2 linked regions of the Tamandua tetradactyla genome follow. The protein of the gene in region 1 purifies or fractionates together with the protein of each later gene. This does not show direct contact. Links are inferred from orthologs where the notes say so. Each region holds a gene or a part of one and is shown on either strand. Other genes may lie near its edges.

Region 1 (7,023 bases):
GCGACACGGAGGGCCGGACGCGAAAGGGAGAAGGCCCTCTCCTCCCTCACGCCCGCCTGACCGATGACCATGGTTTCGTCAGGGATCTCCTCGATGAAACAGCGCTTCTCGGTCTCGCCGATGTGGAAGTACAGCCCCCGAACACCCGCCACGCAGAGCGCGACCAACACCAGCGCCAACAGCCGCATCGCGGGTCGCCGCGGGACCTCAACACCTGCCATAGCGCGCGCCTCTCGCCCAGCGCGCCTGCGCGCCGCTTCGGGACAACGCGGCACTGCTACACGCATGCGCGGGGGTGCGCGCACGCGCAGACACAGCGCCCGTCCCAGAGCGTGGGTGGGGTGGTGCCTCTTTTCTCAACTGAGGGTTCTAAGGGGCCAGGTCTGGGTCTTGTGGCACTGAAGCCCTGGCGGTCCCGGAAGCCCGGCATTCGTCTTCCTTGCAAACCGGTGCCCTCCGACTTCCCTCGCCCCCTTTAGCATTTCGTTTGTACGGTGGCACCGAGGATGCGTCCTTGACTTTCTGGGGCACAAGCTAAGAGTAAATCTAGCAAATGTTTACTGGGTGGTGACTACGTTCTAATCTCATTGCCAGAGGCTGGCAGTACACTGGTGAATAAAATCTAGAACCCCAGCTCTACCTGCCACTCCGAAACGAGGGTCGGTTAGGGGAACTGATAAGAAACAAATGCGTAATGACAGATCCTAAAACTTTCCCGTTAGAAAACAATCCGCGTCGAGAAAACACAACGGCGGAGGAGGAAGTGGACAGGATTGGGAGGGCGGGGGCAGGAAGAGAGAGGCCAGATGAAGGGGGTGCAGCGGTGTAACTACTCAAAGTACAGCAGGGAAGCTGCTGAAAGGGTTTAAACACCTGCGGTGTGATCTATCAGACTTAAAAAAAAAAACAGTGACTGAAATCACCGCTTTGCAAGCCCTACTGGAATAACGGATCTAGATAAACATTATCTGAGAGGATTGGCCAGTGGACCCCTGAACTCATTGAGGACTTTGAATATTCCTGAGAGGGACAACCAGACACATGTGCCTCTTGAAGCGATGTGCCACCTATACAATATTCTTGTTCCTTCTCCCTGCAAGAGCTTAAAACTAGTCAAGCCTCTTGGTTTCACTACTAGCTTATGGGAAATACAGGAGTTAAAGGAGCATCTCAGATGTCACCATGAGGATAAAATCAACCAAATCCAGACTGGGAAACTGTGCAGACAAGGAAATAAACAACAAAAATGGCATTAAAAGTGGGGGAGGAAGAAACATTATGACTTAAAAGAGACTTGGGTGCACGGGTGGTTCAGTGGTTGAATGCTCGCCTTTCATGCGGGAGACCTGGGTTCGATTGCCGGACCCTGCACCCCGCCCCCACCCAAAAAAAAGAGACTTAAGAGCAGAACAACCAAATAGAATGTGTGGGCCTTGTTTGGATTGTGATTCAAACCAACCAACAAGAAAAGGATGTATCTGAGACAATGAGTGCTCTAATGTGAACTTGGGTGTTATGAGACATTAAGGAATTATTGTCGATTTTGTTGTTTTGTTGCATATCATTATTGTACTGTGGATTGTTTAAGTCCTCATCTGTTAGAGGTACATACTGTAGTATTTACAGGTAAAAATAAATACTCTGGGTAGTTCAGTGGTAGAATGCTCGCCTTACATGTGGGAGACCCGAGTTCAATTCCCAGACAATACACACACACACATCCCCCAAAATAATAACTAATAAAAAAAATACTCTGGCTGTACTGTGGAGAATGGACTACAAATGGACCAGAGTAACAGGGAAGCTTGTCAGGAGGTGACTTTGATGCTTCAAATAAGAGATGTTGATGGCAATGGGGATGAGAGAAGGAAGGGGCTGGAATATTCAGCAAATAGAGACAGCAACCTCAATGTCAAATTTTCCCTACACTTGTTCTTCAAAGTTGAAACTTGGAGTCTTTTTCATTTTTTGATATCCATCCCCTGTTTTCCCACCAGAGTAGTCGCAACTTATCAGGCAGCTCACTGTCCTCTAGGTCAAGATTTGGAAAACATAATCACCACATTCATGCACTCACACTCTTTGTCTTATAGCTGGGATGCCTGCGTCTTCATTACTGCCTGGAAGTTATCTGCCAGTACAACAAAGACATTCCTTGGAAGGAAACCAGGCTAAGAGGTGTGTGATGCAGAGCTCATCCCTGCCCACCTCCTCAGGCAACCCTTCCAGTAACTCTCTGGAAGCATGCCAAGCTTTGGTTGCTGTTATCTTGAACACTGCCCACCTTGAGTGCATCTTGTTTTGAGAAAAAAGCACATACCAAGATGTTTGTCCAAGATTTGCACACCAACCCTGGCATTTAGCCACTTTTGTTTCCCCAAGCATCTGTGGAGTGGTTGCCATAGATGCAGAACATACTCAAGTGAACTTCGTGCAAAGTACCTGCAGCTTTCTGTAAGTTCCCCTAATAAATGCTTAAGGACTGATTACCCCATGTTTAATGGTTCCTTCTTCAGAAGGGCAACCAGTGCCATTGTGGGGTGTTTTGGGGTAAGTCCAGCTGGGTCTTCCCCTATTTCTTTTTTTGGGGTGAATCCTGCTGCAGCTTTGTCAGGATGCAAAAAAATGGCTATGATGGGACCTTGGGAAGTGTATGTGGGGTACCTGGCACTTGCCTTTGTGTACTCTCCTTGCAAAATACAATCAAAATTAAAACCCTGGGCGGGCCACGTGGCTTAGCAGGCAGAGTTCTCGCCTGCCGTGCAGGAGACCCGGGTTCGATTCCTGGTGCCTGCTCATGATATATGTATGTATTTTTACATATATATATATATATGCTGCTACCTGTTTATCCTGTAAGTATTGGGATTGAACCATGATAAACAACCTTGTGACATTTAAAGAAATAAGTTCGTCAAGATAAGCCTTCCTGGGGGATGGCAGTTCTTTGGTATGGAATGTAAGCCCAGTGCTGCTAGACTTTCTTTTCTTTTTGTTTTTCTAAAAAGGTAGAAATTTGGGTGTCTTTGATTTTAAAACCTTAGCCTTTAGCTCAACTTTTGTCTCACACAACAGACAACAAAGCACAATCTCTAGCCACATTTAGCAGTCAAGCTGCCAGTTCCTGATTTCCCTACAAATCCAGTGGCAGACACTCTTCGGCTTTCATTTATTTAACCTCTCTGTTCACTATTGCCCACTCCTTCCTTCTCCTAATAGTTTGTCTTGTTCTCCTTCCTTCATTCTTTGAACAACTGGCAGAAAATGGGACTGAATATCTCGACTAAGATAATTATGGAAAAGAGAGATAAGAGGACAACTAGGAACGAGTGGTGTCATGGAGTATGTCTACACCCCTAGCCAGAACACACCCTTTGTGCAGTATAAAGGAAAATGAAAACTTAACTAGAAACTTACTTGGTTACTTATTGCGCATGGAATCAGAGCAAAAGAAGGTAGAAAGTTTGTTTATAATTAAGGGGATTTCCAGACAAAAAAAGAGGGAATGCTGTAAAGAATTTTCATATACTCACCAACTAGCTTCAATAAAGTTTTGCCATTCTTGTTTCATCTATCCTTCTAACTTTTCTCTGAAGTATTATCAAGAAAATCCCAGACATCATTTCATTTCACCTATAAACGCTTGTGTACCTTTCTAACAGATAAGGAGTTCTAAAAAGGACATTATAACACTCAAAATTTTAAAATAATTTTTTGATACCATCTAATGCTTAGTATGCAGAGTTCAATTTCCCCCCATCATTTCAAAAAACTTTGTTAGATTTGACCCACCGAACGCGTACGGAAGGGGCGGCGTGGCTCACCGGGAACCACCTGGGCTCTGCAGGCGACCACCGAGCCCACCCGGGACCGTTGTGACAATGCGGCCACGGGCCACCGGCCGCCATCCCAGCCACGCCCTCTAAACCAGGTGCCGGTTAGAGTACCGGTGCAGGGCGCGGGCGGGGCGGGCGTACTCCACTCCCTCGGGGCGGGCGACGTGCTGACGAAGCACGCAGGGGGCGGGACCAAGAGTTTGGTGCTACCGGAGTACGGTGTCGGCGCCTCATTCGGGCGGAGCCTCGGCGGGAGACAGGTAGCTGCGGCTAGGCCCGGGCGCGGGTGCGGGGAGGCCTCTGCGCGTGCGGCCAGTGAGGCGGAGGTCACGGCCAGGGGGCGAGGCCGCTGCGCCGTAGTTCGCTGCTACTGCCGCGGTGACAGTGGAGTGAGGCGGGGATGGAGCGGAGGTGACGGAGGGGGGTGGGCGGGAACTGGGGGGGATTCCTGAGGGACTGGAGTTGCAGCCAATAGGGCGGCGGTGGTCGCCTGGCGGGCTGAGAGTGACAGGTGCGAAGGGCTCGCTCGGGGCGCGGAGGGGCTCGGAATTGGCTGTCGGCTCGATGGGGGCGGGGCCTCCGCGGCGGGCGGATGTGAGGGAATGGGCTGCAGCCGCTTCCAGGGTGACCCACAAGGTCGCGAGCAGGCGTCACGTGGGAGGGGTCGTCCCGGGCAGGGTCGCGCCCCTCCAGGCTGCCTTGGGCTCCGCTGGGGGTTCTGCAGTCTCTCCGAGGAGCGAGCTTTCTCCCGGCTCGTCGGCCAGTGCCTCGGCCCCTCCGAGGGCGCTGTCCCCGGGTCTTCCCAGGCATGCGGGCGGATTGTCTCGGGCCGGGATCCCTTGGGCACGCGTCGCACACGCTCATTAGAGGAATGTGAGCCGCAGGCGGGCACTGCGCCCTCCAGGAAGCTCACTTCTCCTGCCCTCTGCATCTCCCCCTTTTGTCCTCTAATCCGTTAGTTTTCCTGTGTAGGGCGGGAGCAGGTGTGTGGAGACCTGGGGCTCCACAATTCCGCTCTTGATTTTCGAACTGTACGCGCTCATCTCTGTGTCCTTCTGAGGTGTCCCCCCGCCCCCCACCAATACCTGGGCATTGAATGGCCTTTTTATGTAATTGTTGCCTCTTCTGGCTTGTGTCCCCCCACCATTGTTATATCAGAACACACGTAGAATATTATTAGGTTGGCTGCATTTCTTGGACTAGGAATTCTTGGCTGTCCCTTCTGCAGCTTCACTCGGTAATGACATTGGATAAGTCGATTTATCTCTCTATGGAGTAATCTCGCAACCGTAATTACACCTTTTTGGAAATTTTATGGGACATTTTGATTGAACTGAAGGTCAATTCCTATGGGAACACAATTCCCTTTTTATTTTCCCCTTTTGAAAAGGCATTTTAATATACACGGAAGTTGTTGCATAGGGAGATTTAATAAACTTGTGGCAACACCATCACAGGATAGCCGTGGCATTTATTCTTGGTAAACAAGAACTTCGTGACTGACCCTCATGTATCCCCCACCAGCTCTTCTACTCCTTTGTTCAGAACAGAGATCACTCACCAGCGGTCCAAAGTGTGAACTCCGAATTACGTTTCTTTGTGCCTTGTTTTCAGTTCTTTGCTTTGAAGCAGGTGCTGGTGTCTGATTTCCAGGTACACTGCTCCAAGCAGTTTTTAAGATGAATGGTTTGGGGTTGAAGCCTTTTTGCACTCCAGCACTAGGTGCAACAGTCAAGCCACCGTTTTTGCTATGTAGATCCATTCCATATGAAAATACTTAACACTCCTCCAGCTTTGGAAATTAGTTGAGTACTGAATTTTGGATAGTGGGAGAAAGATCAGTGTATCACTCATTTATTATTACTTTTTTCTTTTTAATTTTATTGTGGTTTTATATACATGAATATATATGTATATAATTGGCTGTTTTAACCATTTTTAAGTGTACGAGTCAGCAGTATTAATTACATTGTCAGTGTTGTGTTATCACCACCATCCATTACCAGAGCTTTGCTAGCACTTTCCACATTTCAGTTGCCTTTTAGAAAATAACAGCTTCATTGAAATATGATTCACATCGTATACAATTCACCCATTTAAGTGTACAATTCAGTGATTATAGTTTATTCAGAGTTATGCAGCCATTACCAGAATTCAGTTACTTTTAAAGACTAACTAGAATTTCAGAAACATGCCAATCTTGGTTTTGTTTAATTGCAGAATTTATGAAATACCAAATATTTCCCGTATTTACTATATGCTTTTAACCTATCTCATGCCTCACCACCCTCATTTTTTAAAAAAATAACCTCTATTTTTAAAATTTTGAGCTGGTTTTCATTTTGAGATACTTGTAGATTCATGTGCAGTTAAAAGAAATAATAGAGTTGTCCTCTTTATTCAGATTTTCCCTATGGTAACATTTTGCAAAATTACAGTACAATAGCACAACTAGGATATTGACTAATAAATGTTAAAATACAGAACACTTTAATTACCACAAATACACCTCTTGTTCCCTTTTTTATAGCCACACCCTTTTTCCTCCCATTCCCACTCTCTGCTTAACCCCTGGCGAACCACTTTGTTCACCATTTCTGTGCTTTTGTCATTTCATCTTCTTTATATAAATGGAATCATACAATATGTAGCCTTCTGAGATTAGCTTTTTCACTAGCATAATCCTCTGGGAGATTCATCCAGGTTGCTGTGTGTAGCATTAGTAAGTCCCTTTTTATTGCTGAGTAGCATTTAATGGTATGATGCACCAGTATGTTTAGCTATTCCCCATTGTCAGGGTTTTTTCCAGACTGGGATATTATTACAAAGAACGTTGCTATTAACATTTGTGTAACAGTTTTTGTGTGAACATAAGTTTTTATTTCTCTAGGATATATGCCTAGGCATGCAATTGCTAGGTCATATGAGTTCCATGTTTAGTTTTTTTAGGAAATTGCCAAATTGTTTTCCAGAGTGGCTGTACCATTTTACAGTTCTCCTAGCAGTGCATGAGTGAACTAGTTTATCCACATCTTTGCCAGCATTTGGTGATGTCACTATTTTTTATTTTATCCTTTCTAATAGATGTGTAGTAGTAGCTCATTCTGGTTTTAATTTGTAATTCCCTAATAGCTAGTGGTATTGAACTTTTTTTGTGCACTTATTTGCCATATGAATAGCCTCTTTG
Region 2 (7,089 bases), on another chromosome or scaffold:
GAAGGAGGGGGGATGTTTGGTCTGGGTTTCTGTGTCCCTGGTTCCTGAATGGACAGGGCTGGAAGTAGCAAAGACTGGGCTTCTTTAGGCTCAGGATCTCCAGCCTGTCCTAGGACTGAGCAAATTATTTCCCCACCTTTCAGCTTATTGCTCTCCCATGCCTTTCCTGTGAACTTCCACCCTGTTCACTCTTGACAAAATGAGAGCCCCTTTCTGCCCTACCAATTATCTGTTCACAGGTAATACCATTTCCCCAACTGGTGACTAATTACTATTTCTGCCTTTCCCAAATAAACTTATTTATTGATATAATTATAATAATTATTACATAATTATACATATAATGTGTATATATATATATTTATTTTTATTTTATTTTTATTCACAATCCATCCCCACCCACCAGATCTTAATGCTTTCTGACGACAGGAGATCTCTTTCTCTTGTGCCCACCTCTTCACAAACATTCCTGGATTTCAGAGTCAAGTTACCTATGCCAAGCAGCCAATGAGCCTGCAGTAAAAATCCTAAGCATAGCACATCTCTGAGCTAGAACAGCCAGCTGCTATACTGATTTTTGGAACCTTGAGTCCAATTTAGAACTCATTCAATAGCAAGTTCCATTTGTACAGGACTTTCTAGTTTATAAAAAGCTTTCACATAATGACCTCATTTTGATTTCTGAGTCTCACAACTCTCTGGAGTGAAGTAACCATCTGCAATTATTCCTATTTCATATTTATATAGGACTTCTGGAGGTTACCTTTACCCAAGGTAAAGCTCTGATCCAGGATGCAAACAAGGCTCTTTCTATTGTTCTGTCAGTCTATTAAAAGGGAGAGAATGCTTACTGGCATTTTCCAGGATTCCCAGTTAAAAAGAATGTTTATTATTGAGAGTTCACTGTGCTGACGCCATGCTAGGTGCTATGCTTTGCCGACTCTCAGGATAAAGTCCAAAATCTTTACACAGCTCTATCTTTCTAGCCAGGCAGGCTTCCTTTCCATTTCCATGACCTGTTAAGCTCCTTCCTGCCTGAAAACCTTTGTACCAGCAACTCCCTTTTTTGTCTGGAGTATCATTCTCTTGGCTGACTCCTATTTATTCTTCAAGTCTCAGCTTAAATACCACTTTTTTGGAAAGCCTTTACTGACATTTCCACTACACTCCTCATCCTCCAAAACTGGGTTACATCATTTACCCCATTATCATACCCTGCGTTTCTCTTCTGTTAGTTATCACAATGTAATTATGTCCCATGTGTGCATAAATGTGTACTTACTCTGCCACCCCAGCTAGCCCATAAGATACATGAGAGCAGAGACCATCAGCATCCCTGTCACCTAGCATAGTACCTGGTATGTAGTAAACACTCAAATTATCTGTGGACTATATGAGTATATAACATGATGGTTAAAGAGTTCAGGCTTTGGACTCAGGGAGACCTGACTTGACTAATAGCTGACCCAGTGACCTTGACCAAGGTACTTAAGCTCTTTGAGTCTCAGGTCGTCGTACATTTGTAAAACAGAGATAAATCTCTCTCTCTTACTGACTGTGATTAACTGAAAAATGCAGAGAAAACAGTTAGAACAATCCTTGGCATACGGAGAGCCTACAATAAAGATTCATCCCTTCAACTTTATGCTAGTCATATAGTAAAAAATAAGCTATATCAAACACAGCATTAATGATTTTCCAAAAAGCATTGGGATAAAATTTAAACTCCTTCCAAAAGTCTCTATAACATCTTCTGATGCCAATGCCACTTCCTCTCTTAACCAAAATGCCCTAGCCAAACCACTTTTCCAGTTCCTAAATACTGCCACCTTTCTTTCCTCAGGGACGTTGCACATGCTGTTCCCTTTCTTTCAACTGCTCTTTACTAGGTTGGTTCTGTCACACCTTCCAGGTCACAGCTTTAATGTCACCCACTCAGAGGGGTTTTCTCTGTCTACCCTCATTCATGCTCTTCTTAGCACTTACTAAAATTTGTGGTTGTTTGCTTAACCATTTACACCTTGTCTTTCTCATTCGTCAGTAAGCCTCATGAGGACAAAACTGCTCATTGTTATATCTCCAGTTGGTGCCTAGCACAGCACTGATACACAGAAGACACTCAATAATTATGCAATGAATGAATAACAGCTGTAATTATTAAATTATTAAACGTAAGACGGCTAACTACTTAAGTCAGACAGTGTTTCACTCTTATGTGAACTGAACATTATGTCTTTGAACATTATGAGGCAAAACACAGGTACCCCGTCTTTCCTCACATACTCCTCTGCCCAAGAGAAGAGCATTTTAGGTGACGGCCAGGGCAAGGGCAGAACTTACCAGTCAGGGAACGTCTCCCTAGAGGGCAGTTCCCCTGTTGAGAAAGAAGACATTATCGACGTCACCCAAGATGAAAGGAGGGAAGAAACAGCTTTTTCTTTTAAAGATAAACTCAAAAGCTGTCTCAGTGCTGGTGACAGGTGAATCTCGTGACTCCAAATGCAACATCCAGGGCTCACGATCCCAACCTGCACACTGGGCCTGTCAAACTATGTCAACTTCCCAATGGGGCTGACACCCCCTGATTTTAACAGATGAGAAGAGACAAATCGCCGAATCACACCGGGAAGCATCCGCGCCTCCTCCCGAACTCTGAGTCCCGTGTCAGGGCGGGCGCAGTTCCGGGCGGCTCACGAGCCCGAGATCTGAGGGTAGGGTGCGGCAGGAGATGGTTGGCGAGGGCTGCCTCAGAAAGAGAGGGGCCTCTGGGCTCTGCTCGGTTAGGCAGTGCCGAGGGCGACGGCGACCCTGGGCCATCTAGCCCGCGGCCTCCGCGTCCCAGTGCCCTTGGGTGGCCGGCCTGGGTGGCGAGCGCGCCTCTGGGAGGGCCGGCCGGCCGGCTGCCTGCCCACAGGCTCCTCACCGCTGTGACCCCGGCCCGGCCGGACCGTACCTTCTGGAAGGCGGAGAGGGAGCGACTGAACGCCCGGGACACGCAGCGGGACCGGGACAACATCACGAACACAGGAAAGCTGAGAGCGGGCGGACAGCGGATATAGGGCCCGGCGGCAACCGGAAGTGGGGCGGGTCGCGGCACCCGCCGCGCAGCGAGGGGTGTTCGGAGCAAACCACTGGCAGCGGGCGAATGGGTGGCACAGAACAGCCCGGGTCCCAGCCCGGGAGTCAAGCGCCCGCGGGCAGACGTCAGTGACGTGCTCTCGGAGCCTGTCGTGCAGAGCTGGATGCTGCGGGCCGCGCTCTCCTCACCTGGGACCCTAGGGCCCCGCACTGTTCTTCTTCAGGGGAAAGAAGCGAAAGGCGAGCACTGGTTTTGAACGCCCACCTTTGCGGACATACCTGCCTGGTCTTAGACTTTTTGTCCCTAGGTTTCTTAACTGTTAAAAGGGCATTTGCCACTTCCCTGCCTTCCTAACCCCGAAACAAAGAAAAAGAACCCCCAAGAAACATCTCAAGGATTCCCATTACCCTCTTGCCAAGCCGAAGACCTTCACCGACTTGTCTTACTTTTGCAACACCATCTCCAGATCTATCCCTGTCCCTGCCCAAATTCTCTTTAACCAAACAACTGATTTTCCTGGGTATCTGGGCGGGGGTTGTTCGTTTGTCAGCCCATTCTTAGAATATAAACTTCATGAGATTAGGGATCCGGTCTGTCTTGTTTACTGTCGTATCCCCAGCACTAGAACAGAGATTGGCATAGGTAGGCAGGGTGCACAGTGAATATTTGCGGCTGTATTTGGGCCTCTTAGCTTTCTTGAGGCATAACATTTTATCCATTACCTTATAAATAAAAGGACATGACCTTGTGTCCCATCATGCACGTTAATCCACACCCTTTGGAGACCTATCACCATGAAGGCAGAAACAGCAGCTGCAATCCCCTTATTCATTTCCTCAAGGCTGGAAGGTACAATACCTAGTGAGTAGTGGTTCAGACCACATATGTGAATACTGGGGAATTTGAGGACAGGGAGAAGAAGCCTGTATTGTTAAAGGTGAGCTGCCCACTCTGCCATTTTTCATTAGCTGAGCCACTTTTCCTTTCTAAAAACAGAAAAAAAAAAATTCTTGTATAATATGAAAGTAAATGCATCCTTTTATCAATTTAAAAAATAGGCAAAATTTGTATGTAGTTTAGGGCATGTAGATGTTGGAGCTATAAAAAAAAAAGCAAGGAGATGGCCAGTATATAACTCAGGACAGTGGTGGTTAACTCTGGGGAGAATGATCAAGAAGGGCCACCAAGGGTTTTTTCATTCCATAGTGTGGGTGGTGGGTATGAATATTCCTCTTATTAGTCTTCTTAAAACTGTACACATATATTTACAAACCTTTTTGAATATATATTTCACAATGGAACACATGTTTATGAATTGAAAAAGTTAAGTTGATAAATTGATGAGTTGAGCTGAAGTTCATTGATTTTTCATTGCCCTATTTCAGAACATTTATTCTACTTCCCTACTTTGTGAACTGATGGAGGAGAATGGCAAAATTCAGGTGATGTTCAGGGGTAGGTAAATTTGGCCAGTGAGTCCTCCTCAGCTCTGCTAGGGCTGGGAACTTTTGGTCCAGCAACCAGCCTCCCCAACAGTGTTTTGGATCTAGCTGGAGGGAGAGGCCACGCAACCTTCCTTTAGAGCAGAGATGTCATATTTTGGAGCTGGGTAGGTGCTATAACCTTAGGATGTTTGAGGAGCAGGAGAAGGATGTTCACTTTGGAACTGCCTTGCTGGGGAATTTGGAAGCAGAGGTTAGGGGCTCCCCACTAGAGTCCAAAGTGATGGAAGAAGCTGGATAATTCAGTCCACATATTTCTCTAAGGGCTCTCTGATTCCTTTGGCAAGGAGAAAAGAGGTGGCATTTCAGGAAGGTTCTCTCTGAGCTGTCTTTCTGGGCACCTGAGTTGGGGTGGAAGTGGGAAGTGGCAGGAGGGTAGCCAACCGGCTCTGGCCTTATCTGCATATTCATAAGCCCCCCCACACCGGTTGGCTGCTCTGGGTAGCCCCCACTGTCCCCAGTGCCAGCAGTTGCAGCAGCGCTGGGCTGGGTCTGTCAGATGGTGCCTTACACTGACTGAGAAGGGTGGGCAGTGGGAGGGTGAATCCCCTCACCCAGTCACGGCTGGAGACCTGCCTGGGGAGGAAGGAGAGGAAACCAAAAACACTTCCTGACCATGGCTGTGTCTGCCCAAGGCAGGTGAAGAGAGGGCTGCTCCATCTCCTCGGGATGGCGGGCCCTGCTTGGCTGTAGACCCTGGACCTGGACCTCTCTGCAGACCTCGTTCCTGTGAGTAACCCCATCCCATCCCTTCCATTTCCATTGCCAGAGTGCTTTTTACAGTTAAGGAATGTTCATTATTAACGTTTTCCAGCATACTGAAATGCAGATAAACTATCATAAGGAATACCCACCCATGAATACCCATCACCTAGATTTAACAGTTGTTGATATGTTGCCATATTTTCTTCATCTATTTTTGTGGGCTAAAATACTGTCAAGTAAACTGTAAACATCAAGATATTTCACTCCATAATACCCTGGCATGCAACTCTGGAACACTTTTTTTTTTTTATTTTTTTTTATTTTTACTTTTTTTTTTTTTTATTAATTAAAAAAATTAACTAACACAACAATAGAAATCAATCCATTCTACATATGCAATCAGTAATTCTTAATATCATCACATAGGTGTATGGTCATCATTTCTCAGTACATATGCATCGATTTAGAGAAAGAAATAGCACTACAACAGAAAAAGAAATAAAGTGATAACACAGAGAGAAAACACAAATAAAAATAAAAAGTACAAAAATATATAAGAGAAAACAAACAAACAAACAAAAAAAACTATAGATCAGATGCAGCTTCATTCAGCACAACTCTGGAACACTTTTGAAGCTCTCCTTTTGAAAGTGACTGGTTCTCTTGTGTCTGATGCTCTTTTTATCTACATATGGACAGATGAGTAAAACATATGGACTAAAAATAAATAAATAATAGGGGGAACAAATGTTAAAATAAATTTAGTAGATTGAAATGCTAGTGATCAATGGAAGGGAGTGATAAAGGGTATAGAAAAAAATAAGGGAAACAAAGCCTAAAATATATTGGGTAGATGGAAATACTAGCAATCAATGAGAGGGAGGGGTAAGGAGTATGGTATGTATGAGTTTTTTCTTTTTTCCTTTTATTTCTTTTTCTGAATTAATGCAAATGTTTTAAGAAATGATCATGGTGATGAATATACAACTATGTGATGATATGGTGAATTATTGATTATATACCAAGAATGGAATGATCATATGGTAAGAATGTTCATGTTTGTATGTTGTTATGTTTGAAAAAAAAAAAAAAGGCTGGTTCTCATACCTGTCATGGGCATCCCCGGGGAAAAAGGCACAAAGAAGCTTGAGTGTGGCCTGAGGGCAAATGGCTGGGAGTAGAGGCCAGACCTCTTAACTCCCAGCCCGGGATGCTGTACAGTCACTGGAAGGATCTCTGACAGCTAGGGGTGTTTCTCCTGTGATCTTGGGCATGGCCCTTCACCTCTCTGGGTTTGTTTCCCCATCATAAAGCAAGGACATGGTAAGAAGAGCAGTAGTTCCCTAACACCGGTCCAGGGAAGTTTTCAGAAAATGACTAGGTAAAGACTTTTTTTTGCTTGTTTGTTTTTTAAAACTTTCTTTATTGTTAAATATAACATGTATGCAAAGAAAAGAAAAAAAGCAATGATTTTCAAAGTACACTTCAATAAGTAGATACAGAACAGATTTTAGAATTTGTTATGGGTTACCATTTCACTATTTCAGAATTTCCCTCCTAGCTCCTGTAAAACACTGGACACTGGAAGAAATATGTATTTTTCTTTTTTGTGAATAAGAACATGTATACTAAAAAGCAATAAATTTCAAAGTACATTGCAACAATGAGTTGTAGAACAGATTTAAGAATTTTGGTATGGGTAACAATTCCACTGTTTTAGGTTTTTACTACTAGCTGCTCTAAAGTACTGGAGACCAAAGGAAGTATTAATATAATGATTCAGCACTCATACTCATTTGTTAA

The links. Proteins that work in one complex are often made in the same cells at the same time.
Region 2: the proteins of OGDH (region 1) and DLST fractionate together in Homo sapiens (co-fractionation; 3 studies listed by BioGRID). This does not show direct contact. The link is inferred for Tamandua tetradactyla from reciprocal best matches to the Homo sapiens genes OGDH and DLST.

Annotation. Positions count from the first base shown.
Region 1 is NC_135327.1:66,020,726-66,027,748, forward strand, and holds the start of OGDH (2-oxoglutarate dehydrogenase complex component E1), read left to right. Parts: upstream 1-3,975; 5' UTR 3,976-4,096; intron 4,097-7,023. Other genes in the region: TMED4 (transmembrane emp24 domain-containing protein 4), read right to left, coding at 62-287. UniProt on the Homo sapiens protein: 2-oxoglutarate dehydrogenase (E1o) component of the 2-oxoglutarate dehydrogenase complex (OGDHC). Participates in the first step, rate limiting for the overall conversion of 2-oxoglutarate to succinyl-CoA and CO(2) catalyzed by the whole OGDHC.
Region 2 is NC_135338.1:33,947,642-33,954,730, reverse strand, and holds the start of DLST (dihydrolipoyllysine-residue succinyltransferase component of 2-oxoglutarate dehydrogenase complex, mitochondrial), read right to left. Parts: upstream 3,086-7,089; 5' UTR 3,017-3,085; coding exon 2,954-3,016; intron 2,375-2,953; coding exon 2,341-2,374; intron 1-2,340. UniProt on the Homo sapiens protein: Dihydrolipoamide succinyltransferase (E2) component of the 2-oxoglutarate dehydrogenase complex. The 2-oxoglutarate dehydrogenase complex catalyzes the overall conversion of 2-oxoglutarate to succinyl-CoA and CO(2).